Drosophila melanogaster: one gene and its partners. The protein of the gene in region 1 interacts with the protein of each later gene in a biochemical or structural test. Each region holds a gene or a part of one and is shown in the gene's direction. Other genes may lie near its edges. The genes, in order: DIP-kappa, dpr7, dpr2 and dpr1.

Evidence for each region.
Region 2: the proteins of DIP-kappa (region 1) and dpr7 form a complex in vitro, tested with the Drosophila melanogaster proteins (one study listed by BioGRID).
Region 3: the proteins of DIP-kappa (region 1) and dpr2 form a complex in vitro, tested with the Drosophila melanogaster proteins (one study listed by BioGRID).
Region 4: the proteins of DIP-kappa (region 1) and dpr1 form a complex in vitro, tested with the Drosophila melanogaster proteins (one study listed by BioGRID).

Annotation. Positions count from the first base shown.
Region 1 is NT_033779.5:13,713,201-13,720,794, reverse strand, and holds the start of DIP-kappa (Dpr-interacting protein kappa), read left to right. Parts: upstream 1-3,474; 5' UTR 3,475-3,774; intron 3,775-6,483; exon of another isoform or gene 6,484-6,628; 5' UTR 6,629-6,656; coding exon 6,657-6,822; intron 6,823-7,594.
Region 2 is NC_004353.4:245,572-256,274, reverse strand, and holds dpr7 (defective proboscis extension response 7), read left to right. Parts: upstream 1-2,945; 5' UTR 2,946-3,074; exon of another isoform or gene 3,075-3,261; 5' UTR 3,262-3,321; coding exon 3,322-3,451; intron 3,452-3,563; exon of another isoform or gene 3,564-3,564; coding exon of another isoform or gene 3,565-3,616; intron 3,617-4,104; coding exon 4,105-4,220; intron 4,221-4,749; coding exon 4,750-4,960; intron 4,961-6,031; coding exon 6,032-6,085; intron 6,086-6,138; coding exon 6,139-6,241; intron 6,242-6,297; coding exon 6,298-6,485; intron 6,486-6,539; coding exon 6,540-6,676; 3' UTR 6,677-6,718; intron 6,719-9,046; 3' UTR 9,047-9,151; downstream 9,152-10,703. Other genes in the region: RhoGAP102A (Rho GTPase activating protein at 102A), read right to left, coding at 1-758; CG1674 (uncharacterized protein), read right to left, coding at 10,512-10,703.
Region 3 is NT_033779.5:10,959,872-10,967,116, reverse strand, and holds the start of dpr2 (defective proboscis extension response 2), read left to right. Parts: upstream 1-2,963; 5' UTR 2,964-3,891; intron 3,892-5,749; 5' UTR 5,750-5,892; coding exon 5,893-6,031; intron 6,032-7,245. Other genes in the region: Tmem214 (transmembrane protein 214), read left to right, coding at 708-1,124, 1,207-1,325, 1,398-1,512.
Region 4 is NT_033778.4:20,695,180-20,702,768, forward strand, and holds the start of dpr1 (defective proboscis extension response 1), read left to right. Parts: upstream 1-3,303; 5' UTR 3,304-4,006; coding exon 4,007-4,091; intron 4,092-7,589.

The DNA of each region.
Region 1 (7,594 bases):
TCATTATCAAATTTGGGCATCCCAAGCTAGTAAATAAAATAAATATTTTTAAAAAGCGGTTTTTTATTCATTTCTATGATACTAAAATGTTGTAAATATTTTGTAAAGATTTTGGGTCAATCATCCACAGGTAAAAATACGTTCAGCAATTAGGCATGTTAATTTATTTGTAAAGCATAGCTCGCTTTTCGAATTATATATACATATCTTTTGCTTTGTTTATTTAATTACCATAAATATTTCGACATATTTTGTACGAATCAATACTTTTTAAAGCGAATCTGCTCCTTTAGCTTTGATTCCACTGTAAACGCTTATCAGAAGCATGGAGAGCAATAGATGTCACCATTTCTACACATCTTCAGCACTAACTTTTCCTTTATATAAGAGCTTTTGTAGTTGCAACGTATTATTTTTAGCATATGCTTGAGACCTCATTATCGAAGTAAATATATGGGAAGAACTCTTAAATCTTGAAAAGTCCCTTAATTTGTAGTATGATTACTATTTACGGCATCAGCATTACTTAAGATAAATATTACTATTAACTCTATTGCAAATGTATATGTTTATAACATGTTTCGTTAGAGGACTCTCAATATTTTATATCTGTATTTCAGACCCCTCGAAGAACTGAAATTTGTATAGGCCGAATGTTGTAAATCGCTGCCATATCAGTGGTAGTAAAGCTCGATAGCACAGTACTAATCATCCAAAGGTAAATCACCGAGGGCAGCACAAAGGAAAATGTGGCGAGAAAAATGTGCAACAGCGACGGCCTTCTTTGCCAAGGCTAAAAATGTGAATGGGCCAGCCCAACACAAAAACAGCGGCAAAACGCAAAACACAGTACGGCGGCAGTAAATTGGCGGCGATAAAATTGAAATCCGCTGGAAGCTGTGCTAACCGATTTGGCCCAGTCCTTGGACTTTGGACCACCTAGAGGTGCAAAAGGAAAAGCGAACAAGTCGGCGCGTTGAGTTGTGAAAACCGAACGGAAATAGCGGCCATAACTCGCCAGTTGGAGCCCAGAAAATAGCAATGGAAACGCCATTTGGTGGGATTTTTCTTTCCCAGGACGCTGTTGCCTGCACGAATTGATTTGTCCTTGTGGGAGGCAATATAGGGTAGCTTTGATTAGCGGAGATTGGCAAAGGTTTCAATAGCGCCGCATGATCGATTCACAGGGAGTTGGTCGGGATTAGCAACCATTGTGTGTACGAAAAACTAGTGTAAATGACTTTTCTGAACTTTTCTTAAGTATATGTTTTTATTAAGAACAGCTTTAAATGTTTTTAAATGTCAAGAATATAAATAGAAATATATAACGAGGTTTATTCCTTCTAAAGAAACGGAATACCCAACCAGTCTAGATCCACTTGTATATATCACCTGAACTGTCCAAAAACTGCTAAACGATTTATTAAATTTATGTATCTTTCCATGGACCAACATCAATTTTATTTTCTTTGCGGCGAGAATGTAATAAAAATGTAATGATATTTATTAAGTACTCATTTATTTGATTAACGGCGAAAAAGAATATTTTTATTCGAGTTGAAGAGTTTCTTGGGTGGAAAGGTGTAAGATTTGTTAGTTACATATACAATTGAACATGGGCTTTTTTTTTTCGTACCTGAATATCTTATTTTAATCATTTAGGTACGTCTTTTCATTCCCCATGCCAGTAATAATAATAATAAGTCTAAGAACTTGGCTGTGGATATCGCTTTTAACATGATTTTGTCATTTGGGTATATTTGCCGTTAACTTCAGTTCAGCAGCAATTTTCGCACTCAATGCAATCAGCTTGTTTTTCCTTCGGCTGATTGTTGCTAATGCGCTCTAAGTAGCAGTATGCCACATGCCACGCCCATGCAGTTGCCCGTAGTAATCAATTGCTCCAAGATGGTCCCGAAAAGCCGTTCAGTGCGCCATTGGGAAGGGCTCTGTTTCCTCTAACAACTCCTCTTTTTGTGCTGGCAATTTACTGCAATTGCATCGGAAGCAAAAAAAAAAAAAAGATAAACTTTCGTTTAATGCCCACACTTTTGGGTGTCGTTTCCAGCATGACACCAGCAGAAAGCAGAAAATGCTATCAGATTTCAGCTAAATGCTGATCCCTAAGGAGCAATAGACGACTACCGTGAGAGTGGAGATTGGTAGTATTTTGAGACGAAAGCCATTAACTCAATAGCTGAAGCCGAAACTATAATAGTCTTACCATTTTAACTATATGATTTAATGTGTATAATTGCTAAATAACTAAGCAGTTTCTTAATTAATTATCCATTAATTTTCTTAACTTTATTAAGGAGTAGATAGATATAAACTCATATGCACAAGTATTAAACAATGACCCGTTGGTCAACTTAAAAGGTCCTGGTCAACATCATTGGATTATCCTTTTTGGGCCCGAGCCACTATTATAACCAACAATCCTACTCTTCCTAATGCTCACTTTAGAGTGACGGTCAAGGGGAATTTGTGTCAGTTCCTGATAAAACTTTTCTAGCTTTAACTCAAACCAGTCTAACCACTCAAAAATGTTGAGAGCTCAGGGACAGTAGCTATTAGTTATTTTACTTTCCTGTTTAACTCAGTTGATGTTGTTGTTTATTTTATTCATGGCCAAAACTGCTTGCCGGGAATTTGGCTCTTTACGTATATGGATTCAACATCGGTCAGATGGCTCGTCCTTTCCAATCTGCCCCCGACTTGGTTTTAAGTTTCCGAGTTATGTTTATCTAAATGTTGCCAGCAGCCAACGCTGCGTATGTGGAATATTTTTTATTGTAGCTACCAGTCTGTTGAGGCCAGTTTTCAGTTGTGTGGTAGCTGCTTTTGACATTGACCAAGGGGTTGGAGGCCATTGGAGTGGTCGGGCATTTTAGTGTGTGTTCGCCAGATAAGCCAATTTATTCAGTTGTTCTTTTTAAATATGCGTGTTAATTTGGCTGTGAAAGTTGAGCATGGAATGAGTTCGTAGGTGGTTTGGGATGGAAAGTCAGAAGTAATTGTTCATGGTAGGAATTGGCTCATTCTCTTAGGTCATTCAAATGTTTTCACTCAAACGTTTCATTGGGGTAGTTATTTTTATTAAAATCAATTGTGTTAGAAGTTTTTTTAAATTCAAAATTGATGTTATGTGTGGAAGAATTCGTATTAAATCATTGCAATTATTTGATTTTAAACATAATATTTAATTTAATGAAGATATAACACACTTATTGGTTCAACGCATAATGAGATGTTAATAATCCATATAATCTTAAGCGTAAGAGAAGAGTAAATAGCTTATAGTAGTAGGACTTTCCAGTGAACAACTCTCCGGCACCGAGAGTTCATTCCTTCTCTGAAACGGATGAATTTCGAAAACCCGAAAGGCGGCCGAAAGCCGAAGTCACTGGCGTCACGAATTGGCATCGTCGTTTGGGGCCATTATTGCAGTGGCTTTTCCACCAATGAAGTCGTCCGACCGTTCAGTCGTGAATCGGGCTTTCAACTGAACGGACGGACTGTGCCCACAGCGAGGGTCGCCACGAAACTATCTGACGTGCGAGTTGCGATTCCACGCGAGCGTTCTACGCGAAATGCTACTCGGTGCGTTGTCGTTATCCTTGCCGCTGTCGTTGGTCCTGCCGCTGTCATTTGCCGGATTTTGGCAGACCTCGCCAAAGTTGTGAGCGAGTGAAAGTTTTTTGTGCATTTGTCGTGCGGTGCGACTTCGGTTTACCATTACTCTTGCATTCGCAATTGCGTGCTCAATTCAAAGTAATTATCAAATTGTTTGTTGTTTTGCAAAAAAAAAAAAACAGAACGTGGCTCTAAAGTGCTGGTCCAACCTTTTGACGACATGTGCCACGTTTGTTTGCAATCTGAAAAACTTTTGTGATGGTCCTTTAATGGTGACGATAGATAGGCTCATTGTTTTTCAGTTACACCTATTGGAGATTTGACTTAAGTACAATTAATCGTCCAAGGTTAAAAGTTTTAGTTTTTTACATTAATTAAGTAAAATTATTTATTTTACTACAGTAAAAATACATTTTTAGAGCTTAAAACCATTTTATTGTCGTTATTTGACTCATAATAATTAACCAATTTCATACGAACTGACTAATTTACTTAAGATTCTTTTTTTTCATTTTAAACACTCGATTATGGCGCTACTTTCTTTCATGACGAAAATACTTTGCACTTGCCACGGCAAAGCAATTTAACCATTATATATGGGTTTTACACTCGAAATAAATTGAATGCAACTGTAATACCCTAATTTGTCAGAAATTGTGCAAAAAACCGCAAATATCCCGATACCAAATCCTTTTACTGGAATGCAACAAACTAAATGGCCATAAAAACCGCTTACGAACTGTGACTGCGGAGAAGGGGCCAAGGGATGGGGATGTTTGGCCATGTTGAGACACAAACAAAGAGCCGCCATGTAACCAGCAAAATAATTTGTTGCAATAAATATTTGAAAATCCAGTTAAGCGAAACATTTTCGTCACGAAGAGGGTCGCGCAGTCTAAGAACTCGGCAAAAAATGCACTCCCAGCCAAGAGGCAGGAGGCATAGTAGGGTATGGAATGGGTATTGCAGAAGTCCTGGTGCCCCAGGAGTTGGGTTGTTAAGTGTACCCGAATTTTTACTCGAGGAAGATGGTTCGCTTACAGGGTAACCAGGATTATATAGACAGAAAATTACAAGATCCCACTGTGTAGGAATATTTATATTATACAGCGGGTAATTTATGTAATTAAAAAGGATTTTAATTTAAAAATATTTTTTTTTTGTTTAATTATGTGTAAAATTAAATAACATAATTTCAGACATATTTTTACTTTACAAATTATACCATTTGACTTGGTACTAGAAAGCAAAATTGAAAACTTTTTAGTAGGAAGCATAAAGTCTTATCAAAAAATTCCCATCGCTCTATCCTAAAATTTTGTTGGTTTTGTGTGGCATTTTCATGCAGTTGCCGCTTTTTGCATGCCCCGCATGCCTCTGCCGACGTTGCTGCTGTTGCACGCCGTGTTGCATTTTGTTGGTGGTCCTGTGCCGCCGGGTTCTTCGACGTTTGTGTCTCTATACCGGACGCTTTAATATTAAAAGCGTTTAAAATTTTCGTATATTTTCGTCGCCATTGTTCCGTGTTCTGGTTGATGCCCCGAAACGAAAAAAAAAAAAAAACATAAAAACAGGGCGGATTCCTTCACCCTGCGATATCCGCAATCCCTTTGTTGGGAGGTTGGGATAAAATAAGGGGCGCTTGTTGCACCGCTGCGGGGCAGCAACGCTAACAAGCTTTGTTATGTTGCGCCATCCGACCGTCGCACTTGCTTTCGAGTTTGCGTTTGAGTTTGCTCAACGTTTTGCCAACTGTGCGAGAAAGTCGCCCGCAGCGTCGGAAGCGGAAACGGAAGTGTTGCCATTGCCATTTTGCTGGCATCGCCGTTGCATTTTCGGTACGTTCCGCTTCCCGTTTGTGTCAGTGTTGTGATGGCGTCGTTATTGTTTTTGCCATGCCTCTTCGATCATACTCCTTTCTGGCTTTCCGCCTGTGAAATGTTGCCTGCCACTGTCCTTTTTTCTTCGACTGGCGAAAAAAAGTGGGTGCACAAAAGTTTCTGACAGGTGGTTTGTGTGTTACGTGTTTGCTGTTTACTTTGTAATCATTTCATTTGTCAGACTTGATTTGCCAGCGAACACAGCGTTGACAGCTTGACGTTGCAAATTGAGATTTTGAGGAAAGTAAATTCACGGGTCCGCAGCAAGACATTCCTGCGATATCCACAAATCCAATTGAAAAAGTTTTGAAATTTCTACACAAAAGCAATCGAAAGTTTTACAGAATTAAAATTCATTACATAATTTCCATTTAATTTTACATGCAACATTATTCATAGGCTTAAGTTTAAATTATATCTTTATTGAAATGTCTTTAATTGTTAGCTTGTCATTAAAAAATGCTATATTCTATATCTTCCTTTTAAGTTTGAATAAAAAACGTTCTTCTTTGTGTAAGATTTGTCTGCACAACCATAAGGTTAAAGGGCAATGTTAAATTAATGTTGAATTTCCGCCGACAAATCAAATTACTGTCTGTGTGCTGTCTGAAGATATTTAATCCGGCTGAGCCGAAGTCTTAAACGCTTCAAATTAACGCACAGGCAATGAATTTCGACGGTACCGTGGAATGAGGACTCAAAACTCAAAGTTAAGCAAACAAACTTGGCTCAAAGTCAGAAGTCAAAAGGCCGTGGCACCAAACTATGTAGGAAAAATGCGTGTAAACAGCAGCAGCAAATCACTCCACGCATCCGGATCCGCGTTCGGGTTTTGACTTTGGGGCCGAGGCCCCAGTTAAGTGGTGGCAAGCTGGCTCGTCATCGTCATGGGGCCACCCAGTCAGTCATCATCATCATAATCGCCATCATGACACTCCATTTCAATCGCCGTTGGTGTTGATTACAGCCCCCTTGTTGTTGCTGTTGATTACGCGACGTTTAAGTGATTAAAGGTGAAAACATTTGACGGCCAGTGAATATCAGGCTTGAACATTTGGCAACATTTTGTCCGCCGCAGTGTTGAACTTTTTCCGTTACATTAACCTTTGCAGAAGAAGAAAATTAAGGTAAAGGATTTCCATGGCCATGGCAGGACCCCACCGCCTGCCACGCCCACATACACGCCGCCGCTTCCGCCTACAGGCGGAGTTTAACGTCCGGCAGTTGGCCATCACGATAATAGCCACTGCCGCGGTTACCATGCTGATGACAGCCACGCCCACCCTCGCCGAAATCCCCTCAAAGGGTAAGTGCTTTGATAATTTAATGAGCCACTCTTGATGGGCTTCTTAGTTTGATTGATTGATTGACTGATGAACCGAGCGGGGAAAGTCGAAGTATAGTGACAATAGAGGAACTTATTTTTGCTCTAAATACCAAGTGATATTTTACTGGGTTTCAATATAAGCTAATTAAAATAATTGAGCACTTGCAAAACGTAATTTCTATTGGGGTTCAAAAGCTGGTGGAATCTATTTTGAAAACGATTTTCATTAGCTGTCTGAGTAATAAGAAAAGTAATTTTCGAATTAATAATAAATCAGCGAAATAATATGTGTATAGATAATTAAGTTAGGCAGTTCTCAACGCTCATGAATTTTGGACGATTCCTGGGTAAAAAAGTTGGCAAAAGTTTTCTTTCAATAAATGACTCAGACCATTATGTGTGCAGTATATTATCAAAAAGACCTTCATTGAAAATTCCAAAAGAAAAATATTTTTTATTGATATCGATTAAAATTTAAAATCTTTAAAAGCCTGCATTTTATTCCTCCTCTGGCCAAGCCTTTGCTACAGTTACAGGTAAAACAACTTTCTTTTATTAAAACTTAATGGACCTCGATATTTAGATCTGCCCAGAAAAATGTATGTGCCATTAAAAGCAATTTCGGAAGAGAAAATAATTTCAGTTTTTGTTCGCTGCTGCTTTGCAGCAGTTTCCCTGCCTTTTTCAAAAGGTTGTTCACATCCAATTGGCCAAGAACAAAAATTGCACATATTTGAAATATTTATGAAAA
Region 2 (10,703 bases), on another chromosome or scaffold:
AAAGGGCAATTAGATAACAATTTAAGAAGGGACAAGAGTTCTGTTTGAATAGATGTGCCGGATGATATCACTTGATGGTTGTCACCATTGTTTTTGAAGTTTGGCCTTTGTGCACTGGGTGATGATGTTTGATCTGGCCGAACTGTTTTAGTTCCAAGTAAAGTTGTGGTTTTGTATGCATCACGAAGTTTAAGATAAGTCTGCAATAATTCGATGACTCGATCGGCAATATGATAATCTTTGGTTGCATCAACTGTCTGTTTTCTGCGGCTAGCACTTGCATGCCTCAACAATGGTTTTAATCTCCGCTTAGAACAGCTGAATGCTCCTGGGTATGATGTTCTGCGACTCCATAAAATAAAACTTGGTTCAGATAAACACACCCGTTGAAATTGATCTTCAATTAGGTCATGATTACCTGACCCTGTTTGGTATCCATCAGGAATTAGCTTACGGCCTGCATCTGTCATATATCTCCAGGTTTTTCGAGTTAGAAGCCAGCGCTCTCGCTTTTTTTCCTTGTCTTTTGTGCTGCGACGACGCACTTTATTTGGAGAAGCCACTCCTTCGGAGTGCTCACTCGCAAAAATCATTGGCTTACGCATGCTGGAGGCATTTCCTAATGGCAACGACCATATTTTCGATACGTCGTTAGCCTCGTCAAGTGCTATATCTAACGGCCCCGACCTTTTTTTAACGGCCGCCATGGGGCTCCTCAAACAGTTCACAGATTCTTCGTTTTCTTTTGGAAATTCCATATTTTACGCTGACGCAGAGATTAAAGGTCAACAGGTCTTTTTTTATTGCGATTTTATCATAATAGTGGTGTTTTTAGTACATATGTTTAAGTTTTACACTAATTTGGATTCATAGTAATTGTCACCGCATCAGCACATAGCATATTTTCACAACGATATTTTCAAAAGGCAGGTTAACAATTATACGAAGAGTTGCAAAGTAATATACTAGGTAAAAACACCAATTTATTTATAAATGCGTACATATATTTGATTTTCTCAGGAGAGATTTCGTATATGTACAATAGAATTGGTATCTACACATGTGAGTGACTTTATTTATATTTCAAAGCACACAATATTTATATTGAAATTCTGGAATAACCAGTACTTCTGTATAATTTTATCAACAAATAGTAACTATGACACCTTGAGGTTTACGATTATTTATTTGTTATTTAATTTTTATATGTCATATTATTGATACTATTTATTTTCTATTTAGACACTGTTAAACCTCGAAAAATAGCACAAAATGCCTGGCGAGATAGCGTGTACATAATAAGAGAACATTATTTTCAGAAAAAAAAACATAAAAATATTTCGAAGTTCACGAGATATTATTTTTGAATGTATTTATGGTACAAGAGCATCCCGCTTGTGATCGACTAATGTGCATACATATACACGTTCTGAAAACAAACTCTTTACTTTTCTTACTTTTTAAGTTTATATTTACAAACAAGATTTGTACAAAAACATATGTATACAATTTCATAATACCTTGTTATCCCAATTGTCGTGCTTATACCGGACAAACCTAAATTCAATTGGAATTTGTATTTTCGTTTGCAATTAATGTACTGTTATTTAAGAATAATACTACTATTGCGGTAGAGCTGATGAGACATTACATTAGGTTCATGTAAATACCTTGACCTGAAATGGTGTTGCCTTCTATAAGGAAAACAAATTATACACTTTTGCAGATGTTTAGTCCGAAGCGAATAATTGGCCTTATGTATGTGTCATGCTCTGTGCAAGCTGCTAGTTGAAAAGTTATAGTTCTATCTGTGTGAAGCTACATTTTGAATTTAAGAATTGATTTTCAAAAGGAAACACCTAGATGTTAACAAGGACGGTGACAGTTTTTAAGGGAGCGAAACTGAACTTTATGTGAACTAAACTAACTTACACTAATTTTCAAACAAGTCAACTTAAAACTAAAACAAGAGAGAATGCTATAGTCGAGTTCCCCGACTATCAGATACCTGTTACTCAGCTAGTGTAAATGCAAACGCGGAATTTTATCATTTTTCTGAGATATCGATAGATATTGGGGAATAAAATGACAAAAAAATTAATAATAGTTAATACTATTTAATAATAATAGTAGAGTGGGCGTGACCGGTTTGGGGCTTTAGGGCGGGGCTAAAAGTTTTTTGGCAAATCGATAGAAATGTACAAGAATAATAAAATATTGGAACAACATCCAACAATTTTTTTAAAATATGGGCTGTATGTTAAATCTCTACCTTCTTGGTTTTATGGTTCCTGAGATTTCGGCGTTCATACGGATAAGGCTAGATCGACTCGGTTTTTGATCCTGATCAAGAATAAAAATGTATATAATATAATAATATCATATAATTTATGTAGCCGGAAACGCTTCCTTCTGCCTGTTACATACTTTGTAACGATTTTAGTATACCCTTTTACTCTACGAGTAACGGGTAACGTTTCCTTTTCTATATCATTTAAATTTACGAGTAACTGGTATAATAACTTATGCATTTTTTTAGGATAAATTCACAATGTATGCTTACATTACCATTACCGTTTTTGAGAATGTAACTGTCAGTAGTAACAAATTTGTTCGAAATTTAAGGGGTAAAGGTGCTATTGTCACGTTTATCTGATCTCAGTCTCAAATTGATGTGTACCATTTGTATTCCGCCCATTGCTTATATTATTAAGCCGTGTTACTGAGTCTTAGCAATAAAAGGAAACTAGAGTACTTAGTATATGACTTCAAAATGTTAAAATTAAAAAATATATACATACAAATAATTATAACCTACGCAATCTATAAATATATAGAATCTATCCTAAATTGTAAGATAACACATATGTACATATGTGACAATGGGCATGCGCGAATATTTTCAGGGTTGCAGAATATTAAAAATCTGTATACAAGTCGTCCTCACAGAAACACTAAAACGTGCTGCTTAGGGGTTGTTAGAGCTTACCGTTGAAATAATAATTGTCGATGCCAACGAAATAAGTGTAAAGACTAAAAAAAGTATATAAAAATTGAAGCCAGCAAGTATAATTGTATGTATATTAAAAACACAGATCTAAATACCGAAAAACAGAATATTATTTGAAAGTCCATTAAAAGGATAAAAAATCGATGCCGATACAAAGTTGTTCTCAATAAAAATCTTGCGCCAATACGTGCTCTCGCGTGTGCTTAATATCTAACTTAATTATATACTTAACATTTATTATAACTACATAGGTATATGGAATTCTACTCTAAATAATGCATATCTGTGAAAGACAAATGAATTAAAGCAACATGTCGCGTGGCAAACATGCCACATTCTTGAATAATTCGCCAATTAAAATCAAACCATTCATTATTTTAGTCTTGAATTTAAATATATGGTGTCAATACATTAGTGCAACTTCATATTTAAGCCTGAACGGTAAGATACATTTTAAATTAAAAGTTTCCCACTAGAATGATAAATATATTTTTACCCTTGCGGGATTTTTTTTTTAATTTTGGTTGGACCCATTTTCTTCTGCAACGTGTAGAATGAAAACATATAATGCATTCCTGAATACGAAGACAAAAATTATACATGTATGTACGTATTGTACTTAACAATATTCAATTGTGAAATTATACGCAAAAGTATTATGTTTAAAAAGCCATTGTATTTAAATTATGCTAAATTTAAATCTAAAAAATAATCTTAATATTGCATTTTGCCCATAGTATTTTTACCACCTGAAAGCTTGCTTTGCAAAACATCCTTCGAGAGGAGCTTCGGTTTCTAAAAGATGACAACAGTTTCATGTCTCGCCCCAAGCTCTTTCACCAACAAGTGTAACCACTCTTTATGATCGACCTATCGCAAAAGATTTCGCGCATGTATATATAGTTGTCGCAAGCTCTTAGTCTTGACCGACACTTCCGTCCATAAAAAGATCGAAACTTTAAATTAAAATGTTTAGCTTCTAGATAAGGGGCATATAAAATTATTTTTAGTTTATACCTGCAAGGGTATATACGCTTCGGCTTGAATAATTTAGCATCCGTTTTCGTTTAACATAAAATACAAATTCATTTTAGACCTAACCAATTTGGAGCGACCTTTCTTTGATGATATTAGCCCAAGAAATGTGTCGGCCGTAGTCGACGAAATCGCAATATTAAGATGTCGGGTTAAAAATAAAGGAAATCGCACGGTAAGTCATTATGGGTTCTTTCTTTTATTCTTACACATAGGATTATATCGAAACATTTTTATTCGTTTGAAGAGCACATTCGGTCACATGGTAAAAAGTACGACTGTACGAATTAGTGACGGAAAATTGTTTGAGGGGGAAGTAACCTTAAATTTCAAACTAAACTTGGGGACACACCAGGAAAACGTTTTATTTTTTAAAGGCAGTTTTCTCCCAAGGATTGCTAGCTTGCGCTGTCTTTTCGCTAGCCCTTTTCAACTCTCCTCCCAAATCTACGTGGGAACTTGCCTCCATTTCCATCGATCAAGCTTGTTTCGAGGCCTGTTCTCAATTTGAAAATGTGAAAAATTCTTTTAAGTCTCATGTTTCTCTAGCAAGCTTGCCTATATCTAAACAAATAGGATTAGGAATAAATGATTACATTTTGAAATAGTGAAAGGGTTATCAGATAGCGGAGGACTTAACTTTCCCTTGTCCTAAAATTGCGTATCTATTTAATATTTCTTATAAATACTTTTAATTATTTCAGGTATCATGGATGCGTAAGCGGGATCTTCACATTCTTACAACGAACATTTATACTTACACCGGCGATCAACGATTTTCTGTAATACATCCACCAGGCAGTGAAGATTGGGACTTAAAAATTGATTATGCACAGCCAAGAGACAGTGGCGTATATGAGTGTCAAGTGAATACCGAGCCTAAAATAAATTTAGCAATTTGTTTGCAAGTAATAGGTATATATATAAACATTTATTAACAAACAAAAAAAAAAAAAACAAAATAATAACTGTGGAACTCGAGTACTGTATATACAAAACTAAATTTTGTCGTTGAGCGACCATAACAAATAATACAGAAATCAAGAGGCAGAAATCAACAAGTCTTGGCAATTAAAAATTTTAAATCTGAACACAAATTAGTAAAGTAATGAGTCTAGAGTATTGGGCAATAAATAGCTGGAAATGCATATTCAAATGCTATCTATACTGTTTAAACCTATTTTATCTAAATTCAACAGGTTAAAGACTGCAGCAAAAGGAACCTTTTGACTCTTTTGATAATTTTACAAAAAATTCCCCGACTTTTGATATTAAACACATTTTCGAAAATTCGCGATTTTAAGTTAGAAAGCAACAAAATCAGTCAATTTTCACAGTTGACATGCGTTCAGCTTTTTTAACAACTAACTAACTAAATATTGAGAATTGATCTACATTTTCTTGATAAAGAACTTGATAAAGAAAGTTGAGCTTTCCTACTTAAGAACCGACCAAAAACTTTACCCGCACGGTACATGAAAGTCGAGGAGTTTTTATAATCATTACTTTTAATGTAATAGACAGAAGGAAGCGTTTCCAACTATATTCAGGATAAATACCCGAGTATGTCCTTCCGTCCGTATGAACGTCGAGATCTAAGGAACTATAAAAGCTAGAAGTTTGAGATTAGCATACAGATTCTACAGACATACTGCCAGGCCCACTCTAACTCCCACAAATCAGTTGGTTTGCTAATTTCTACCGATATGCCGAAAACATTTTACCTACGCCCACTTTGAACCATAAAACACGCCCAAATCTATCCCGCCCACACCTTAGGGAATTAAAATTAACTTTTTTCCCAAGTTCAATCGATATTCTTGAAAGATGTTAAAAATTCTCGGACCGACTTGGGTCTCATTCTCTGGTTTTTGTTTGATTCAGGTTTTAATTTCACCTGGAAGAGTTCATAAATATGCTTACCCCCAGAAAATGTTGTATTAATTTAATTACTCATACTAAATTTACTTTTGTATAAAATTTTAGCTGACAACGACTTTCAAGACCTTAAAACTAAGAAGCGGTTTTACGACACAAAGTGTAAGGCCTTTTATAGCTTGCTTAAAATTAAAATTATCTGTGATATTTTAAAGCGGCTCGAGCAAAAATTCTTGGATCTACGGAAATTCATGTAAAACGGGATAGCACTATTGCCCTGGCTTGCTCTGTTAATATACATGCACCATCTGTGATTTGGTAAGAAACCATGATCTTTGTAAGAGATTTTAACAACTTATTTTACTATATCAAAGGTATCATGGCTCATCAGTTGTTGACTTCGATTCACTTCGCGGTGGAATAAGTTTAGAAACGGAAAAAACTGATGTAGGAACAACGAGTCGATTGATGCTAACGCGAGCTTCATTAAGGGATTCTGGAAACTATACATGCGTTCCAAATGGAGCCATTCCAGCTTCTGTTAGGGTTCACGTATTAACTGGTAAACATAAAATTATTTCAATTTAATATGTTTTTAAATATTTCATTGGTACAGGTGAGCAGCCTGCAGCAATGCAAACAAGTTCTGCCATTCGGATTAGGGCTTTCACTGCAATGATAACTATCATATCAACAAAAGTGTTGTTATATATTTCAAGTCTTATGGAGCATATGTATCTAAGAGAAAGATGACTACCAATATAATTTCCATTATAATATATAAATAACATTAAGGTAAGATAATAGATTTTTATCAACCCTATATAGTACGAATAAACTCTAGTTTCGCGTTTTGCCAGCTGTTCTTTGCTTACAAGAAAGGAATAGTTTCCTTCGTATTTTCAACCACGCGTTGACACGCCTACTCTAACCGCCCAAAACTGCCACACCCACACTTTTGCAAAATTTTTTGATATTTTTTTTCATTAGTCTTGTAAATTTTTATTGAGTTGCCAAACATTTTTTTTCCATGGCCACTAAAAGTTCACTGATTTCTGGCTCGAGTCCAAGGTTCAGCGCGGTACCGTTAGTTCACGGCATCCGCTTTACCAGGGTTTAAGATCCACTATTTCCTGTTAGAGCTGACTTTAACCTTCGCCTTCTTCGCTGGTGCTCCCCGGATTTGTGGGGAGTTTTAAGACTCCTCACAATACATATCTATGATACGAAGACAAGGAGCTCTAACTTCAAGGGTTTAGACGACATGCAATATAAGATGTAGCTGTTTATCAGGCGGAACCGGAACATCGTTTCTTACTTGTCGATAAACTGGTTTGCAAGCTGAGAATAATTAAATTAAATGTATTAAGATTCAATCCCCGAACCTAATCAACTCCAATGTGAGGTTCTCTTATCCCTGTATAAATACAATGTTAATAATTAAGCCTTCAAAAAGTCTATTAGCTTTCAAAGCGAACGTTCGTGTTTTTTTTTTTGCGACCCGATTTTTATTTCGTGTTTGTCCAACCAGCCGTGGTTTTTAATAATCTTTTTTAATTATCAAATATTTTAAACATAATTATTAAAGATCCGTTCGCTTCGCGAGTGATTCTTTTGTGATTTGTGCAGTTTGACCCCAACCTGTGATTGCTTAAAATTCCGAATTGCCTGCACTGGTTTCTTAACCAGTGATTCCACCTGTCCCGATTAGTTTACCACCACAACGGAACATTGAGTCCGGACTAACGGCACAAGTTGGCACTTCAGAAATACAATCTGCAGGACCAAAACCCCTCGCGGTGGTTCCACTAAATAAACAAATTTTCGTTTCTCGGCTTTCCCGTGATGAAACATTGTCTGATGTATTGTCTTATATACAAGACAAAACAAAAGCCGATAATATAAAAGTGGAAAAGTGTAACTTCTCTTACGCTAGGGACAGATCAAAGGCACTAAAATTTTCGGCCCGAAATCGTCTTCTAGAACAACACGCACACATATACGCGTTCTCGTCTCTTGTTTTTACTTGCACAAGCAAGCAAGTTCTATTTTAAGATTTCTTACGCTCTCGGCGTAAGCTAGCGGACAGAGAGCAATTTTGGCCGTCACCAAAAAAGTGGCGGCTGCATAGTGCCAAACCAATGTATGGCCGTTACGCATCTTGTCATTGTAGTGTCTTTGGTATGACCGTCCCTCCAGACGGGGAGGTGGAGTCTTAATTGCGGTTAGATCTATCCTCTCGTCAGAAGAGTTACTTTTGGGCGATTCCCGTAACTCGGAATTCTTATGTGTAAAGCTGTAATTTTCCGACAGTTCAGTTTATATTACGTGCTCGTATATTCCGCCATCTTCTGAATTCCCAGAATATAAGAATCATCTGTCCGATATCCAGTCCATCTTGAATAAACTGTCTGACAGGGACCAATTGGTAGTTCTAGGTGATTTTAATATACCTGGCACAACGGGGTCCCCAGAAGAAAAATCGAATATCCTTCTCCCTTTAGCACAACATGACTTTATTGACGGCTTGCTCGACTTATCTTTGTCGCTAGTTAATTATATTCCAAACTCTCTTGGTCGACTGTTGGATCTATGTTTTGTAACAAGTCCTGAAAGTGTGTTTCTGTCCAGGGTAGACCCTCTTACTCAACCTCAAGATCCATATCCTACTTTCGAGGTGGCAATCGACATAGGTAAGGTATAAGTAAATTCAGAGAAGTCAACCAAGCGAATTCACTGTTTTCGCAAGGCAAATTTTCGTAGGCTAAACAATTTTATAGCTGGCTTTAATTGGTCCGATCTTTACTCCTGCAACATAATGGCGGATACGATTAATATGTTTTATATCGCAAATAAATCATTCAGAACACTCTTGTGTTCCTTTAATAATATAGTTTTTATAGTTAAGAAAGTTTTTAATGTGCTACAGCTTAATGATCTTTAAGAATAAGGTTCGAGTTCCTCCGATATATTGCAAGCCGCCCCTATACAAGACAACATCCAAGACATTAAAGTTTAAAGTAAAGTTAAAACATTGTTTTAAAGAGAAAAGTGTGGGTCATGTGGCAATGCTAATTTATTTAAATTATAATAAATGAAATGAAATACATTATATTTTTTCAGATGACCGCGTGTTTACGGAGAAACCATTGTAAAATCGCGCTCTGTTTATGCAAATACGAACACTACATGTAATTCCTATAGTACTATGAAATAAAAACCTATAATAAACATTAAGTCTTTCGGTAAGGTTATAGATCTGGAAGAGTAAGTACACATAAAAATAAATACCTTCTATTTCAAATCACTATATTAACGCCGACATAATCGTTTATTTTATACATTTGCTTTTGAACGACTAGTTCAGTGCACTTCAGTCACTTGTGAATTTAAAGTGTTATGTTAATTTAGGAGAGCTGAGAAAGAGGTCAATATATGTGAACATAGGGTGTGTCGGAATGTGGGCTATTATCTTGGACCCCAAGCAACATGAATGACAGTTGGGATGTATATATATACCTCTAAATTATAGTAAATATGATTTAAATTAAACAGTAACGACTACTGAATGAAAACGTATGTTGCGGAATCAAGTTTGTTCGGTGTTCAACCAAAAAAGCAATTCCTAGGTGCCGTACAACATTAAACAATTTAGAGTTTTAAGCAGTTTTACGATATTGGAGAATACTTCATTTTAATTTTTTACGTTTTTGGGGTTTTAAATAATTTTATCAAACAAATTTTTTTAATGAATTGTTATTATGAGACTTATATGACAGAAGAATGCTTAAAATGTTGGCGCGAAAATAAAGATAAGTAAATAATGTGCCATCGCTTACTCTGGATTGCTTGCTAGTTTTTAAAGATAAATGAAATTCTGAAAGAAATCAGCTTTTTTTGTCTTGCACGGCCACCATATTTGGTTTATATGTCTGGTTTCAGGGCGTATGATGTTTGGCATAGTAAGCGTTGAAAAGAATGCGGGCTGTCTTGTGGTCTACCTTTTCAACTGTGTTTATTGCAGTCAGTTCTTTCTGCTTGATAAAGGCAAAATGGGCTATTATCATTTATAATTTGAATGTTCCAGGTAAAAGAAAGCGTTGGGATCGGTTCCAAAAAAAATATTTATAAATATTCGTGAGCATTCGGAATACTCTTCTAAACTATAGCTTGAACAACCAAAGGTTTTTTTAACATTTAAACATAAATCACTTGTTTAAACCTAATCGCTTACCTGTAATATACCATGAAGTAACGCCAATAACGAATAACAACAAGAGAGTAAAGGAAAAACCTCCAGCTCCGTCTTGTGAAAGCAATTGATATAACGTAAAATAAAAGTCATCCACAAATCCTCGTTTACCAATAAAGCGCCAGAGGTATTTTTAAACATCTTTAAATATTAATTTCATCAAAAGGATTAAAATTTTCCTATCTTAAAAAAGCTTGGCAGGTGAAACAATTGCATATATTTTTCGATGTAGTACTATTATAATTTTCAAAGGCAAATAAACAAACACATTAAATATATTTTATAATCGTGTAAGTAGTTGGCATATGTCGTAAATCGCTTAATTGCTAAAGCAACCTAAAAATCAGAGTACGGTAGATTTCCAGGTAAGTTGTATTGGCTTGAATAGGACTGTTGCTTGACTGGTATGGATCCCCAACCCTTGGCACATTTGTTAAAGGTTTGCACGTGGTTTGGCAGCGGAGAGGGAGAGCCTCCCTGTAGCAGCACAGATCTTGGAGGCCAGGAAGTCTGTTCATTTAATGAAGT
Region 3 (7,245 bases), 2.8 Mb from region 1:
GAGACAAGGTGTGTTATTTTTAAATAATGGTGAAAGTAACAAATTTAAAAAAGATTACATTTTTTCATAATCATTATGACTAATGTATTTAGTTCATTAGTTCATTCATTTTCAACGTTTAAAGTAATTAGTAAATATATCTAATTTTGAAGACCATCACAATGAATGAATACATGTTTTCTTCATTAAATTTGTGCAAAACCTATACAAGTGTTCCTAAAAATTGAAAAAAAAGTATCTACACCAATTAAGCATAGCCTGCATATTGAATATAAATGTTTTTAATCTGGACAAAATGGTATTATAACTACGTATTTCCAATTTTTAATTATCCCCATCCTCACTCGCGGTTTTAGCTTACTCTTAAATCTTAGGTCATCGAGCTCAGTCGCAAAAAAAGCTCAGTTTAAAAGCTCAAAAAGTCTCGTCATTCTTTTTAGCAAACACAATTGCAATGATAAACACAATAAATAATTAAACATCTTTTGCGAACAGCTGAGGAAATCTAGAAATACTCTTCATAATCGAAACTCATTGAAATTAAGTTAGAAAATGGCTCAGGTTAAACCGAAAAGTAACAAACAGAGCGGCAAACCAGTGCCGGCCGCCAAAAAGGTAAAAAATTGAACTCAATCAAATGATTCCACAATATCAACTATCCCCAGCAATTAAGATTCTTAATAATTTTCTAATTTTGTACTATGTAGAGCGTCCAAGAGAAGAGCAGCGCGCAGCAGAAGAAGAACAAACAGAAGGCCGCGGCAGAAAAAAAGAAATGCGGATGCTGCAAGTGGACCTTGGGTAGCATCTTCATCATCGCCCTGATTGCCGGAGCTCTGTACTACGATACCGAGGTGAACGGCAAGGGCGTGTTCGAGAAATCGGCCACCGGCAAGGTGCTGAAAAATGCCGGAGTCCTGCCGCATGTCCAGAAGTCCTGGTACACGGTCATGGGGGCCGGAGCGCGGGGCTACAAGTGGGCGGAAGTGAATGTGCCGCCGTACGCCGAGCCGGTGATCAAGACCACCTGTGACCTGTGGAAGCTGGCGAGGAATGCGGCCTGCAACGCTTACCAGAACGGCAAGGGATACTTTGGCGCCAAATGGCCCGTTGTGGCAAAGTTCGTAAGTGTCTTTTAGTCGCCATGAAGATGAGGTCATGGGCAAACCAGTTTTGAATTAATAATACGTTCCATCTATATTTTAGATTGACCAATACGTGCCCAATTCGTCTGGCAAAATCGAAGCTTTTGCCGCTGGCGTTAGCGATTTAGCCGCCAGCAGCTATGAAAAGGCTGCAGCGCTCATCAAGGAAAAGGTGCTTGTGTAAGTATGCCTGCCTGCCTGGCCTTTGTTGTCTTTGAGAATGCATCCCTTATGATTGTGATCTTTGTTTAGTGGCCGTCTCTCGCCCGAGAACATCAATCAGGCGCTGAACCAGACGCGTAACGCCGCCCTGGAGTACTACAACCAGTTTCACAAAAAGGTCGACGCATACGCCAAGCTCAAATGATTTTAAGCGTCAGGAACGCTTACTTCTCGAACAGCAACATCATCAGCAGCTGCAGCAGATGCAAACAGAATACGCGTCATAGTAAATAGTGAAGGAAGCCCTAATTTTTCGCAAAAAGTTAAAAAACCGGAAAATGTTCTATAAGTCGAAACTCAAGAAGTCATTCACATTTATCAACAACTTCTCGTCAAGTTTAATTAAGAAAAAGCAATACGAGCAAATCTTTGTGGATGCCGATAGTACACTAACAATCTAGTAAATTCAACCTCGATACTGATAAATTAGTGAAAGACACGAGAAATTTTCTGTTGTAAAACATGTGTTTAAACATTTTTCTCCAAGTTGAGAAAACATTATTTTTAAATTCGTTTACAACGGCATGAGAGTTTTGTGAAAAGTTCTACCATTGAAATTTTGTAATTGTAATTATTAAAGTGCGTTTTTTGTGGCGATGCGCGAAGTGTTAACTCTATTGTGTTAACTGAACTTAACAATTCCAACTGCATTTTGAAGGCAAACAATAGATTCAAATATTTTTATACTTTTATTCATAGTTTTCTTGCATTTGTGTGTACATTTCTGTAGACTCCTCCCCAATACTTGCATAATAGCGCGATACTTTTGATTTGATTTTAAATCTCATTTGTATATTTAATGGAAAACACGATTTTGCATAAATAAAATAAAATTGAAAGATGTGAAGTAAAGGCGTATTTCTCAATGTTTTTCTGTGCTTGATTATGTTTTTGGGGGCATATTGATGAATCGTAAGATTCTGAACACACCTGTTGGCATTGGCAGCATGGCTTGCACTACACACTTGTTTAAATTGGAAAAGCGGCTTGAAAGCAGTTTTTATTTCCCAAAAGAGACTAGAATTTAGATCAGTAATATTTCCTGGGCAATTTTTCTAGAACAGTTCTCTCGAAACTAAGCAGTTCAAATGTTTTGCAAGCAGTCCAAGAACTAAAATTTCCCTAGGTTTTTGTTACCCATATAAGCAGTGAAGAGAAATTCCTAAGCAGTGTATCATAATTCAAAGCAGTGCAAACAACAAAAAATTGTTGCGTATTTGAAAAATAACACCTTTAAAGTTGAAGAAGTTTTAATTATATTTCTAAAATATTTATAAGCTTTGGTATCTTCATGAAATGGCATGATTGGATAGAATCTTTTCCTAATTGGTACAACAAAGTAGGGTTCTCATTATAGTTGCTTAAATTCTCCCCGCAAAATTTCCCTTTTAGACGTTCATCTTGGAGACAGTCGCCCCTTCAAATACAAGGATTTTCCCGAATTCGCCGCAAAGTCACCCGTTTTCGGAGTGCGGGAGTGACAATAACAACCAACTCGTCGTCCTGTTCGTGGCTGGCAGGACTCGGTTCACATCGGAACGATTACTTGCAGCGCGGAGGAAACAACAATACGGAAAAGCTCCGGCCTCGGATGCCGCAGTATCAAATGAATTTCAAGTCGCGGCGCACGTGTTTCGTCCTTTGGCGCGGATGTGACTACGAGTCCTTATCGCAGATTGTGGTCCTGGCCACGAAAGGATATCTCGTAGTTGCCGCATTCGATAGCGGTGTCGCGGTTTCCCAACTTTCCCAACTGCCGCATCTGTTTTTTCAACTTGTGCGCGAGACGACACTAAGATCGTTCGGCTTCGATTTCGCTCAGTGTATAATGCTCTTGAGGCAAAAGTGAAGTTTCGAATTGGAGGCCGCTTTATGCGGCCAGTGAAAGATATTGTCCCCTGAATTAATTGTCTGTTAAAAACTAACATTGGATGTTTAAATGGTTAAATTCATGGGAAATATTCGCCCTGCTGCTGCTGACACCAAAATTGAGTCGAATAACAGCTTTAAGTACATTAATATTAACCCACCCACACTGCTCTTTCGCATTCAATGTGGCTCGATTTTCCCTCCTCGAAAAGTGGAGCACAGATAAATCAGAGAAAAACATTTATTTCTCATCGGAAATGAACTCGGACGGGCGACGTGATTTAATGCCAATCGAAAATGCATTTGTTACTCAGGTTTCTTGCAAATTATACGCTTAGCGATAGGATTGAAACACAGAAAACAAAACACATTTTTTACAGACTTCAACTGAAACTCCAGACAGTTGCATAAACAACAACCAAGAGTTTCGTGCAAAAATAAATGTTAAATCAAAGTTTTTCCAAGTTGAGATGGAAGTTTTTCCAAGTTCTTCTTCGCCTTATCTGCTTTTGAAGTTCACTCGCATTTTTCCTCTGAAATCCAGGGCAGAATGAAAAATCGGAAATATGTACCTAATGAGCACGTGTGTTACGGATTGACTTTGAAGTGAGTCCTCATTTCTAATGAGTTCTTGTGGTGATATGAAGTAGGAAAGGTAATTAATTCACTAAACCACAAAAAAGTTAATGAGGTGATGCGGAAAGGTCAAAGTTGTTCCGTCAATAAATAAACTTTCCACAGACAGTCAATAATTGGTGTAGTTTTGGACTTTTAAAACTTTTGCAAACATGTACACATCCATTTGTTAGCACTGGCTTTGATTTAAAGCATTTTTTGCACATATTATACTATATAATAAAGTATAATTACATTTAATATTTAAGCAAAAAGGCAAAAGGCCGACCTTGTTTTAGTAAAAACTCGTTAAGTACGACAGTAAAAAAAATTTTAAGGAAAACTTCTTGGACAATTTGCCAGCTGCCTTTAAAAGGACTCGACAAAGGCCAAGGACCTCGCAGGACTCTTTGCATGTGGCATTAATTAAGTGCCGCTTGAGGGAATAGTATTAGATGAGCTTGTCTCTCATTAATCTTATAACCTTATAAAGAATGGCTTGAATAGGGAATAGCAGTATATACATATGTCCGGGGACAGCCCCCAAAAAAAGAAGACATTGAAATCGAACCGTTTTCCTCGCTCTTTTGGCCGCCTTTCGTGTTTTTCTAATTGAATTTTCTTTCGAGCTTTATGCCTTGACTTTTCTCCTTAAAGATCAAGTGGTCTCCAGGTGCTTTTGTGGCTTTTTGGCCGGGTGTCCAGGTGATTAATGTGCAACCAGGTTTGCTTAATTAACTTGCATTTATGCCTGAAGTACACAACGGAAGACAAAAGCCAGTTGCTAAATTTGATAAGTGGGCTTAGTTGAATTTGAGTGACTCTGCCATAGAAGTACAATATATATCATTAATTAACAGCAGACTGTACTTGTGGCACTTAAAATGGACTAGCCTAAAATTATAAATGCATCATTATCGCGATGAAAGTTTGGCATTAAATTATCCAAAAAGTAACAATACATATCCAAAACCACTAAATTCAATTAACCAACGATGCCATGAAAATAACAATTGCAGTGCGCATTTTAAGCTGATTCCATGTTAATTTTACCACCATTGTTTGATTGGCATCGCAACAAACAACAACTCATTACACAACTCCAGCAACGGTTGAAATCATTTAAGTGCTGTGGTAATGATAACTGAAGGGTGGGTCGAAGGGCATGGAATCGATATTTATTGAATACAATATCTCTTGGATCGTTCGTGGAGCACGATTGTAACGTGAAACAAAGCGCAGTTTGTGGAGAAATTAACATTTTAATTGGTTTTTGACCCTTGCACATTTCGTGAGTGATCAAGGCTACACCTTTCAGTTGCACAATTTATGTGTTTTATGGCCAAATAAAAAACTATTTGAGTGCGGCTTGCGGGTTGTAAATATACAAATTGCGTTGGTTAAAACTGCTCCTGTGACATGGTGGCGATAAGCAACTTGCCACTACAGACAATATATGAGGGCTTAACAAATACAAACGTAAACATTCCGAAAATGTAAAAATAAATTAATGCCGTTGCAATTTGATACAGGATAAATGATGTGAATGAAGGACATTTATAATGAAGGCCTACGGTTAATATCAATGTTTGCTTCAGTTAAATGCTGTACGAACATGGAATTCGATGGACGAAATTGGTTTTTCACATACCCCAACTATAAACTTGGCTATATATGGCTTGAATCCTTTAGAATTTGCAAAAAAATATAACTATTTAATTATATTCTTGTCACAAAAAAAAAAAAAACACTTTTATAATTTTTCAATGATTTATGTTAAGTTAGGCAGCAGTGCAATGAATGGCTGCAATAATTCAAATTAATTCATTTCAAGTGCTTTTCATGAATATTTCACAAATAATAGCGTTAATGAAAATGTTTCCTCCCTCTCTTTATAGAATGCACTTCAAAAACGATTTAGGAACCAAACCATTAGCAGTAATGTAAACCAAAATACGTAAACTTGTGGGGCTAAATTACACTCATCTAACCGCCATTGAGGTGAATAAATATAAATAAGTAAGATCCGGCTCGCAGGACCATGGCTATGGAGGGAAAATGCTTCGGTTGCATCGCAACGCCAATCCTCGTAATAATGATAAGCATTTCGAGAGCTTGGACAATGCAACAACAACACTTGAGTCCTGCCATCCAACAACATCCTGCAGTCAAATCGTTGTGTAAGTAGATCTCACTCGCAATTCACACATGTTCAATTTAATAGTGCACATATAAAAGCATATTTCAATACCATCTCTAAGATATGAATTATGAATGTATGTGCTATAAATTAACAATGACCAACGGCCGTAGTTAAGTTTATTAAAATTTTACATATCATATACGTATTTACTAATCACAATTGTAAGCCAAAATTGACTATCAAGGAGGAGGCACAAGTTAATTAGTTGACTTCATTTCGTATGAGGCAGACGGTAAATAGCATAATATATATCCAGAAAAGTCACTATTGAGAAATGACTTAGTTTCCTTGATAAATCAAATATGGTATCTTTCCTCTTCCTGACTTCATTCCCAGTGTATGAGCGCCTTTTTTTTTTGGCCTAATGCAGTAAATGCCTAAATCAATTATGGCCAGCAGGCGAAACAGAAAACTAGGGCGAAAAAATAGGCAAATAAACCAAATGAGCGAGCAAAGAATAAAATCTACTTAGCACATGTAGACTTTAATTAAATCATGGCCAAGAGCAGAGTGAGCACTCTGACAGGAGACACCGACGAGCCATCGCGACCTTCATCCTAATCTGCAGACACCCAGCCGGGGCACATCCTTCGCCTCCTTCTTGGGGTGAGGGGGGGGGGAGGTCTGGAGGCGGTTCTGAGCCCCAAACTCTGTTGTGTTTGTGGCTTTCGGGCGAAGGAGGCTAACGCACGATGGATTTTTATGTTTATGCTAGACATTACTTGGCCATGTTGCTTACTTTCGGTACCCAAAAAAAAAAACAAGCAACTATAATGCTGTGCAATCTGTGGGCGAATAAAAAGGTAAAGTCTTGGTCTAAAGTTCTTTCATCAATCCATGGAAAAATATAAATTTTAAATCCTTCATTTTAAATCTATTTCTCAGTTATCTGATATTTTATTCCCATAGCACTAGCTTCGTCTTAAATGCATTGCAAGTGTAGTTTAAAATGCTTTGCCTCAAATTCCTTGGATATTCGCCTCACTTCTCCCTTTCAATCTGCCCAATAAACCCAGAAAAAGAAACAATTGCTCTATTTGTTAGCCACCTGCATTCGTGCTTGCTTCTCCGTTTTGTCTGGGTTTTTCCCCTTTTCTATATAGCTTCGGCTTTGCCTTCTGCTTCTGCTGGATGGCTATTGACTTTTCTTGGCTAGTGACTTGGTGATGTGGGCAATACCAGAGGGAAATA
Region 4 (7,589 bases), on another chromosome or scaffold:
TATGTTTGTATATTCATGAACGAATCAGCAGCAAACTACAATTATTGTGCACTTTAGTATCGCAGTGAAAGGCTGAGCCTAATGACCGAGGCCGTGACCCCAGAAGGGCAGTTGCTCCCCTCGAATCCCCCGGCTGAAAATGCGTACTAAATGCGCTAAATTACTAACTAAATGCCGCAAGTGCCGCCCCTGGGCATGGCTAGAATTTCACAAATGAACGCCCTTTTTGGGTGGGCAGGGGGTTGGGTTAAATGGCCAGAGGGGTGCTTTTCCACTGTTTTCTTTTTTCTTTTTGGGTTGCTTATACCAAAGCCGAAAAACTAAAGTCAAAAGGAATGGGAAAGCGAAAGCCAAACACTGCCGACAGTCGATGACATTTGAGCGATAAGAGAAACTGTTGTGTGGCTTACTTGCTGGCAACCCTAGTGATTTTCTATACCATGTAATGGTTAGTTGGTTGTTGGGGGGGTCAGAGGTCGAGAGCGTTCCTTGTGGTTGTTGCTGGCATTAAGTATGCAGGCGTGTGAATCGTGAAGGCGGATATACAAATACGAATAGTATATGTTAGCCGACCTTCGAAGGCAGCCACAGTGCTACACTTGCTTTTTACAACATTGAGAATTGTTTTAAATGTTAATGCCGATGCTCTTGGGCTGATAATAAAATGGGGCAAGTGTGGGGAGCGGTGTGTCAGAGTCAACAAATAATTGAGATGTTTTCCTGAGTGTCATCACACACGCTTTTTTTTCTACAGCCCCAAAAAGTGGGTGGCTGGCAACCAGAGTGGGTGGCTGGTGCTCCCCCGGCGGACGAGAGTCAGCTGTTCTGAGTGCGCGCACTTGTGTTAAATTATGCGGGTTTGATTTTTATTGCACTGCCGCTCATTTCATTCTGCTCCCTTTGCTTTTTTTTCTCTCTCTCCCATTTGTTTTGCTTGCTTTGCTTTGGTTTCCTTTGTTTTATAGGTTTTCCCCAATGGGGGGGAGTGGACCGCATGATACCGAAGCATACCCACTGCCCAAAATCAAAACCATCTCGGAAAGTATAAACAAGTTGGAGTGACGAGCACGCGTGTGTGTGCGGCTGTAATGTGGTCATGCCTCGTTGCCCCAACGAGCTGTTGCTTGGCATTTCAATTAATGGCACTTGCCACCCTTGTATCTACCATACCATACCAACCCACTCCTGCCCTCCAAGGGGTCAGCTCTTCCAACGCTGCACTCCTAATGAAGCCGTCTCCAGCTCCAGCTCCTCCAGTTTCAGTTTCAGGAGGAAACCAGCCGCAACCTCATATCTGCCACCAAAATGAAGGTCTCGTCTCTTTGGGATGCTTTGTCAATGGGCGTCGAGATATGCCTAAACACTTGAAAAAAAAAACGATGCAGTATTGAAAAGGATCATAGATTACAATTATAGTTACTTCTGGTGCTATTACTCAGTGATGATTTATTCTGCCATGAATAATAAATCTGTAAGATTTATTTTTAGCCAATGGACCACTAATTTTTTTTGTGTGCACAATTGCAACTTCGCGGTGACACGTGACCGCAAGGACATTTGTTGAGCCTGAATGTGCCGCATCGCACGTCTTAATAGATTTTTGATTTGTTTGCCCACCCTTCTTAGCTGGTAACTCAGACTTCCCCATTCCGAACCCGGATCCATATCCGAATTCGAATCCAAATCCAATTGTGAGGCGGGCGTGCGTCTCTGATTGGAATAATGATTTCGCTGAAGCAAAGATAGAACATAAACCGAGCCAGATTTGTTGTTTTTTTTTTTTTTGTGGGGAGTAACTTGTTTTTGTCAATATAGAAAATCAATAACTGTTTTCGCCGCTACCGTTCGGTTAAATCAGACGAGGGTAATTCAATTAAGAAATCACACAGGAGGCCAGGAATTAGTAAAAATGGAACGCTCAAGGCTCCGCGAAATGGAGGATTAAAAGCGAGTCCTGAAAGTTGGCCATTTCTTTATTTCTGTCTATGATGAACAATGGGATGGTATTTGGGCAACATTTTACAAATTGTTTCAATTAAAAAGTTTACTGACTTTGCTTTTTCGCCTTTTACTTTATCTATAAGCGGCTTGCGATTGACACGTGCCTCCATCGCCACGCCCCCCCGACTGAACGCCTCCTTCGGTTATCGAATGGTAGTAATCGCTTTTTGGGGCCGCTAATTGCGGCGACCTTGATTGGTTGGGTGGTATTTATAAGTCCGCAAGTTGATTGCATAATACTGGCAATGTTTGGGCAGTGGGCCATAAGTCGTAAGCTGGGAAAGCCAAAAGCTGGGCCAATCAATTAAAAATAATCAGGCGGAAAAAGTTCTGGCCAATCTGCACAAATATATGTATATATTTCACAGTCGCTAATTAATTTAATTGATTTAAACGCTTCGGCTTGACCAATAGCAAGGCGAGGGGTTTGGGGGGTGTTATCGAGTGCATTTGATCTGTTTGTTTGCACAAAATTAAATTGACTTGTAATTAAAAGTTTCGCAATTGATTGAAATTCTCGTGTGTGCTTTTCCTTTGTGCTTTTGGGTGGCTGCGATGAGTCCCAGTACTAAGAACGCTTCAGGGAAATTCGCAGCAAATAAACAAAAAATAAGAAAAAGAAAAAAAAAAAAACACTAAAAAGTGCTAATTAGGAGCATTAATTAAAAATGCATTTTTTGTTTGCCGCTCAATTGAACTGCAGAGAACGTGGAACTGTAACAGTTTTCATACACTGGACATTTTCTCTTTAGGCCTGCGGAGTATAAGAGCGGCAGTATAAGAGTATCCCTAACTGACCTATGGCAGGATATTTTTGCGCGGTTTTCTTATTGTTTAGCAGCTTAAATGGTAGTGGGCATAATTAAATATTATATTAAAAACAAGAAGCAAGTTTCATTTATTAAGAAGTAGAACAATTTATTTCCTTTTATGATTTCCCTACATTTTAAAAGCAGAATGGTAAAACTAAGTCCCTAGAAAGTGGAATACAATACTAATATGTTAAAAAAAAGGTTTTATGAGTCTTAATAATAATTAAATAATTAGTAAAGGCTGTAATATAATTATTCATAAGCATTTTATTACAGTTGCAATAGTGCTTTATTACCTGAGACATTATATTCGATATAAACAAAGTTGCTTGGTAATTTCGTGCTCCAATAAGCCGACTGAAGAGAGCGGCTCTGCAGTTTTAGTTCTCTTTGCTCTTACATGTGAACAATATATATGCGAACTTGCCCGAGTGCCGAAGTTAGCCGAAGTCGAGGCGTTCGCCATGTGCCCGAGCGCCGATTACCAGTCAGTTCCATCCTGTGACTCGAAGGCGAAGCACGCGTTTCTTGATTTATGTGCGCGGGTTGTAGTCCCAGTTAAATCCTGTTCAGATATATTCCTCAGTGTTGAGGGTTTCGAAAAAGTGGGCCTAATGAGTGCCCGGGCCTTCGTGTTAATGGCGAATTAATGACGGGGCGATTAAAATGCAATAGCCACATGCATGGGGCGCCGTAATGAGCTGAACCGAGCGACTGAGTACAGTGAAACACAGTGCCATAAATTAGAGGCGCCCACAAAGTGTAGCCTACTGCTTAGCGGCTTTTGGGCTTACGATCTGTTTGAAGTGTTCGTAGACCGTTAAAACCTTTCGCACGCCCACAAAAAAAAAAGTTCTTGTGTAAAGCTCATTTCGCAGCAGATTAACAAAAAAGAAAAAAAAAACAAAACCAGAAAAAAAGGTCAACTCTCAGTGAAAACGAACCAAAAACAGGGCCAAGCGGAGAAAGTACTTTCATTGCTCCCCAGGCAGAGCTTAACCGAGAGTTTTGCCGGGCTCTAATTTGACGGAATCGTTAGTTGACCAGTGACGTTCCACCACCCGGGTGCACCCCCACCACACCGGAATCCGTTTCGCCGGATCCGGATCGCGTGCCAACTACAAGCGTAATAACAATAAACTTGCGGATAACAACCGCAGATACACAGATACAGATACAGATACAGCAGCACAATGTCCCTGCCATCCAGAGCCAATATCGGATTACTCAACTGGCTCATCGGCTGGCTGCTGCTGCTGTCGATGGTTTTGCTCAGAGGTGAGTTGTGCGTCGGGCTTTTTAATTAAATAATCCAATTTATTTTCATTTAATTTCTAATTAAATTTAATTTGTTTGCGCCGCGCTTTGGCCCACCTAATTGCCCCCATGCTCACCATGCCCACCACGCCCATCACGCCCACCATGCCCGTTGTAACCCAAAGACTTTCCTTTGTCGCCTAGGATTTCCCGTCTAATTTCCGGAAAACGAGCGATTTTCGCTGGCCTGGAAAGCGGGCGAATGCGAATTGAAAATTCTTTAATTTTTGTGCTAAGAATTTTAATTCCGCTACAGAGTCGGCAAAAGTTTTCCCTTTTGTCCCTGGCGCAAGTCAAAAGGTGAAGCATTTAATGCCCATCTGTGTGTGACTCCCAAAAAGTGGAGAACCAACAAAATGAAACATTATACAGAGGGAAAAACGAGTGCTCCCCCCGCATCTTGGTTTTAGAATATTTTTGTTTTTAATGCATATATTATATATGTATTTATACGAACTCTTCATGTTTTTTTTTGGGTTAAGATGAGTTAACAAAGTCAGCTAAAGTATATTTCTGTTAAATTATATAATATTACAAAATGTTTTAATATTGGATTTTGGATTGAATTTAACAACACTTTTAGAATATTCTACTTAAACTTTGTTTGAAGTAAGAACTTGAAATACTCACATTGTTATTGTACAATATTTAGTTTTATAGATACAATCACATACAAAAGTAGTTAGAAAATGTTTTAAAGGCTAGTCTACTATCATCTGCATTTAAAACTATTATTTACAGAAAAGCATATATGCAACTAAGTACTCCGGCTATTTGATTTTCCGTGCATTCGTGACCCACTCCTGTCCAGAGTTTTGCAGTCCTAGTTTCGCAGCCCACAAGGTTGGTCCAGTGACCAACTGAAGGGCAGGAGGATGAATGGCGAATGGCCGCATAGTGCGAGTGCGAATGCCACATGCAACGTGTGGGCTGGGCAAACGGTTTTATATAATAGTTTGCAACAGTGGGGCACAAGTCTCACTTTCAATGCATCAAATGAGAAGCACGCGCTTGTGATGCGCCGCGCCACAGAGATAGAAATGTGGGAAAATAAAAAGTAAATATGAAAAATAACACATACTAACGAGCGGCAGACACTTGGAAAATGCTGTTGAAGCTTGGTCATGGCCAAAATGCTTCTGGCTGCAGTTGCACTTGATGTTGTTGCCGCTTGCGCAGCAGCAGCAGCAGCTGCGTTGCATGTGGCACGTTGCAGTTGACACACGAAACTATTGCCATTGGGCTTGGCTTGGCTTTTTGGTTTTTCAGTTTTGGGGTTTAGCCGCCTGTTTGCTGCTTTTAAGTTTGCACTTTTTAGCTTTCAGCGGCTAGCAATTTTCTACTTTCCGTTTTCAGCTCGTCGTTTGTCATCTCTGAAAACAGTAAATTGCATTTTTATACAATTTTCCATCATTTGACTTGGCAGTTGTTCGTCTGGGCTTTGTAATTTTCAAATGAAATACTTTCCGAATGCAATTCGCTTTTGCGCAAATTGTTTCCTTCGTCCTGCTTTCCTTTGACTTGGCTGCTTCTTTGCCTTCTACCCGCCTATCTTGTTAGCCCATTGGCATCTGTCTGGCCATTTCATTTGGCTAAAAGCTACTTGAAGTTGGTTAAGCGCAGACAAACAGACGAAATAACTCATCTTGGCAATTGCAGAACCTGCAAAAAGGCAAGCAATCAAAAAAGATTCCTATCGAATTACTGGGCAACCGATTTTCCAAGGATTTTCTTTGGTCTGGGTTTTATTTGTTCTCTCACAAAGGTGATGATTATTACTTGTAATGATATATTGGAATTAAAATTATTTAATACAAAGTTTTTGGGCATAAAGATGGTTTAAGTTGATTGCAAAAGGCTAACAAGTCAAAATCTAAAATGTAATTTTTCACTACTTTAGCATGGACAACTTTGACAATTAGCCATATTCACTTTTTAAGTACCAATATTTTATAGTTAAATTTGCATATTATTATGCAGATTATTTTTATTTTTATTATATATATATGCATATTGGAATTTTTTGAGGCAAATTTTCGGCCGGCTGTTTGATTCTTTTTCTCAAATTAATTGACAGGGAAAAACTCGACAAATGCATGCGCATATTTCCATAATGAATTCATAAAACTTTCGATCGTGTCCTTTCGCGAGCTCGTGTTATTTGGTTTGTTGGTTTATTAATAAATAAATTCTGCCCTTGCGGTTTGGCTCTTTGTATGTGTGTGTGTGTGTGCGTGTCACTCTGTATGCAAAATTGCAGTTATTTGCACAGCTGTTTTGCCATATAAGCCAAACAAACGATTTTGCCCTTTTTCACCGCATAACTCGCATGTGCCGTGTTTTTTGACCTCCCCCGCAGCCACTATTAAGTATTTTTGTAAATATTTTCCATGTCGCCGAAAAGGAAAGCAAAATGAATCAATGGCGAAAAAATGATAATAACCGACGTGATTTTCCGTTGAGTACAGTTAATACAGAAGCAATGCTGGGAAAATATACATATACATATAATTGCTGGCGAAACAATTCAGCGTAGGCCGGCATCATTCAGCGGTGTCAGACTGATGAATGAGCCGACGCATTGGCCCAGACAAACGCCTAGGAGAGCACGCAATGCCCATCCATCCATCCATCCACCGTACTGCCATCCATTTCGTTCTCATTTTATCCGATGAAAAACTGACGAGGCGGCGCCTCAAAGTATGCAAAGCACATACTCAAGGGTTCGCAGGATCTGTTTGCCGGCGGGTACAGGTTATTCACACAGGCAGCGGCGTGAAAACCCGACGGATTCTTCATCAAGGCCGACCAACCAGATTTGTACCTTATCTTTTTTTATGCGTATAAATATAAACATACTTTTGGTTTTCACCCCCCAAAAAAAAGCTGCTTGAAGAAACAAACTTAGCCCGTTGTTGATTTTAATGGAATATGGCTTTACAGGAATTTGTGATGAATGGGTGGTTAAAAGTTCCACCGGAAGGACTCTAGACTATATTTGGCTCAAGGAGTTTGGAGGGAAAGTCGAATGGCATCATTAATCATTTAATAGACCAAGGACTGTACTTGAGGATGGTCAGGGATTACAGAAATCTGGAAGTCATTTATTAAAGTAATTTATTCACTTTACAAAGTTATCTTTTAACTGATGTATGAAACATATTTAAATCTGGCTCAAAATAATAAACTATCCCAAATCCCAAATCATTGGTTTAACAGAGCTTTGTGTAGCAAGCCATGAATAACTTTCTTAAACATAAGTCTTATGTAATACTTCAATATATTTAAGTGTCGAGCGAGTTTGAGTAGTTAATTAGGCAAAGTATTGTCAAATAGTTTCCTAATTAAACTGCTGGCACAAAGTTTTTTTTTCGGGCCAAAAGCTGAAAAGTTGCGCAAGTCGTTGACAAGCAAGGTATATATATTTTTTTAGGCAAATCCACAGCTTTTCAAATTATG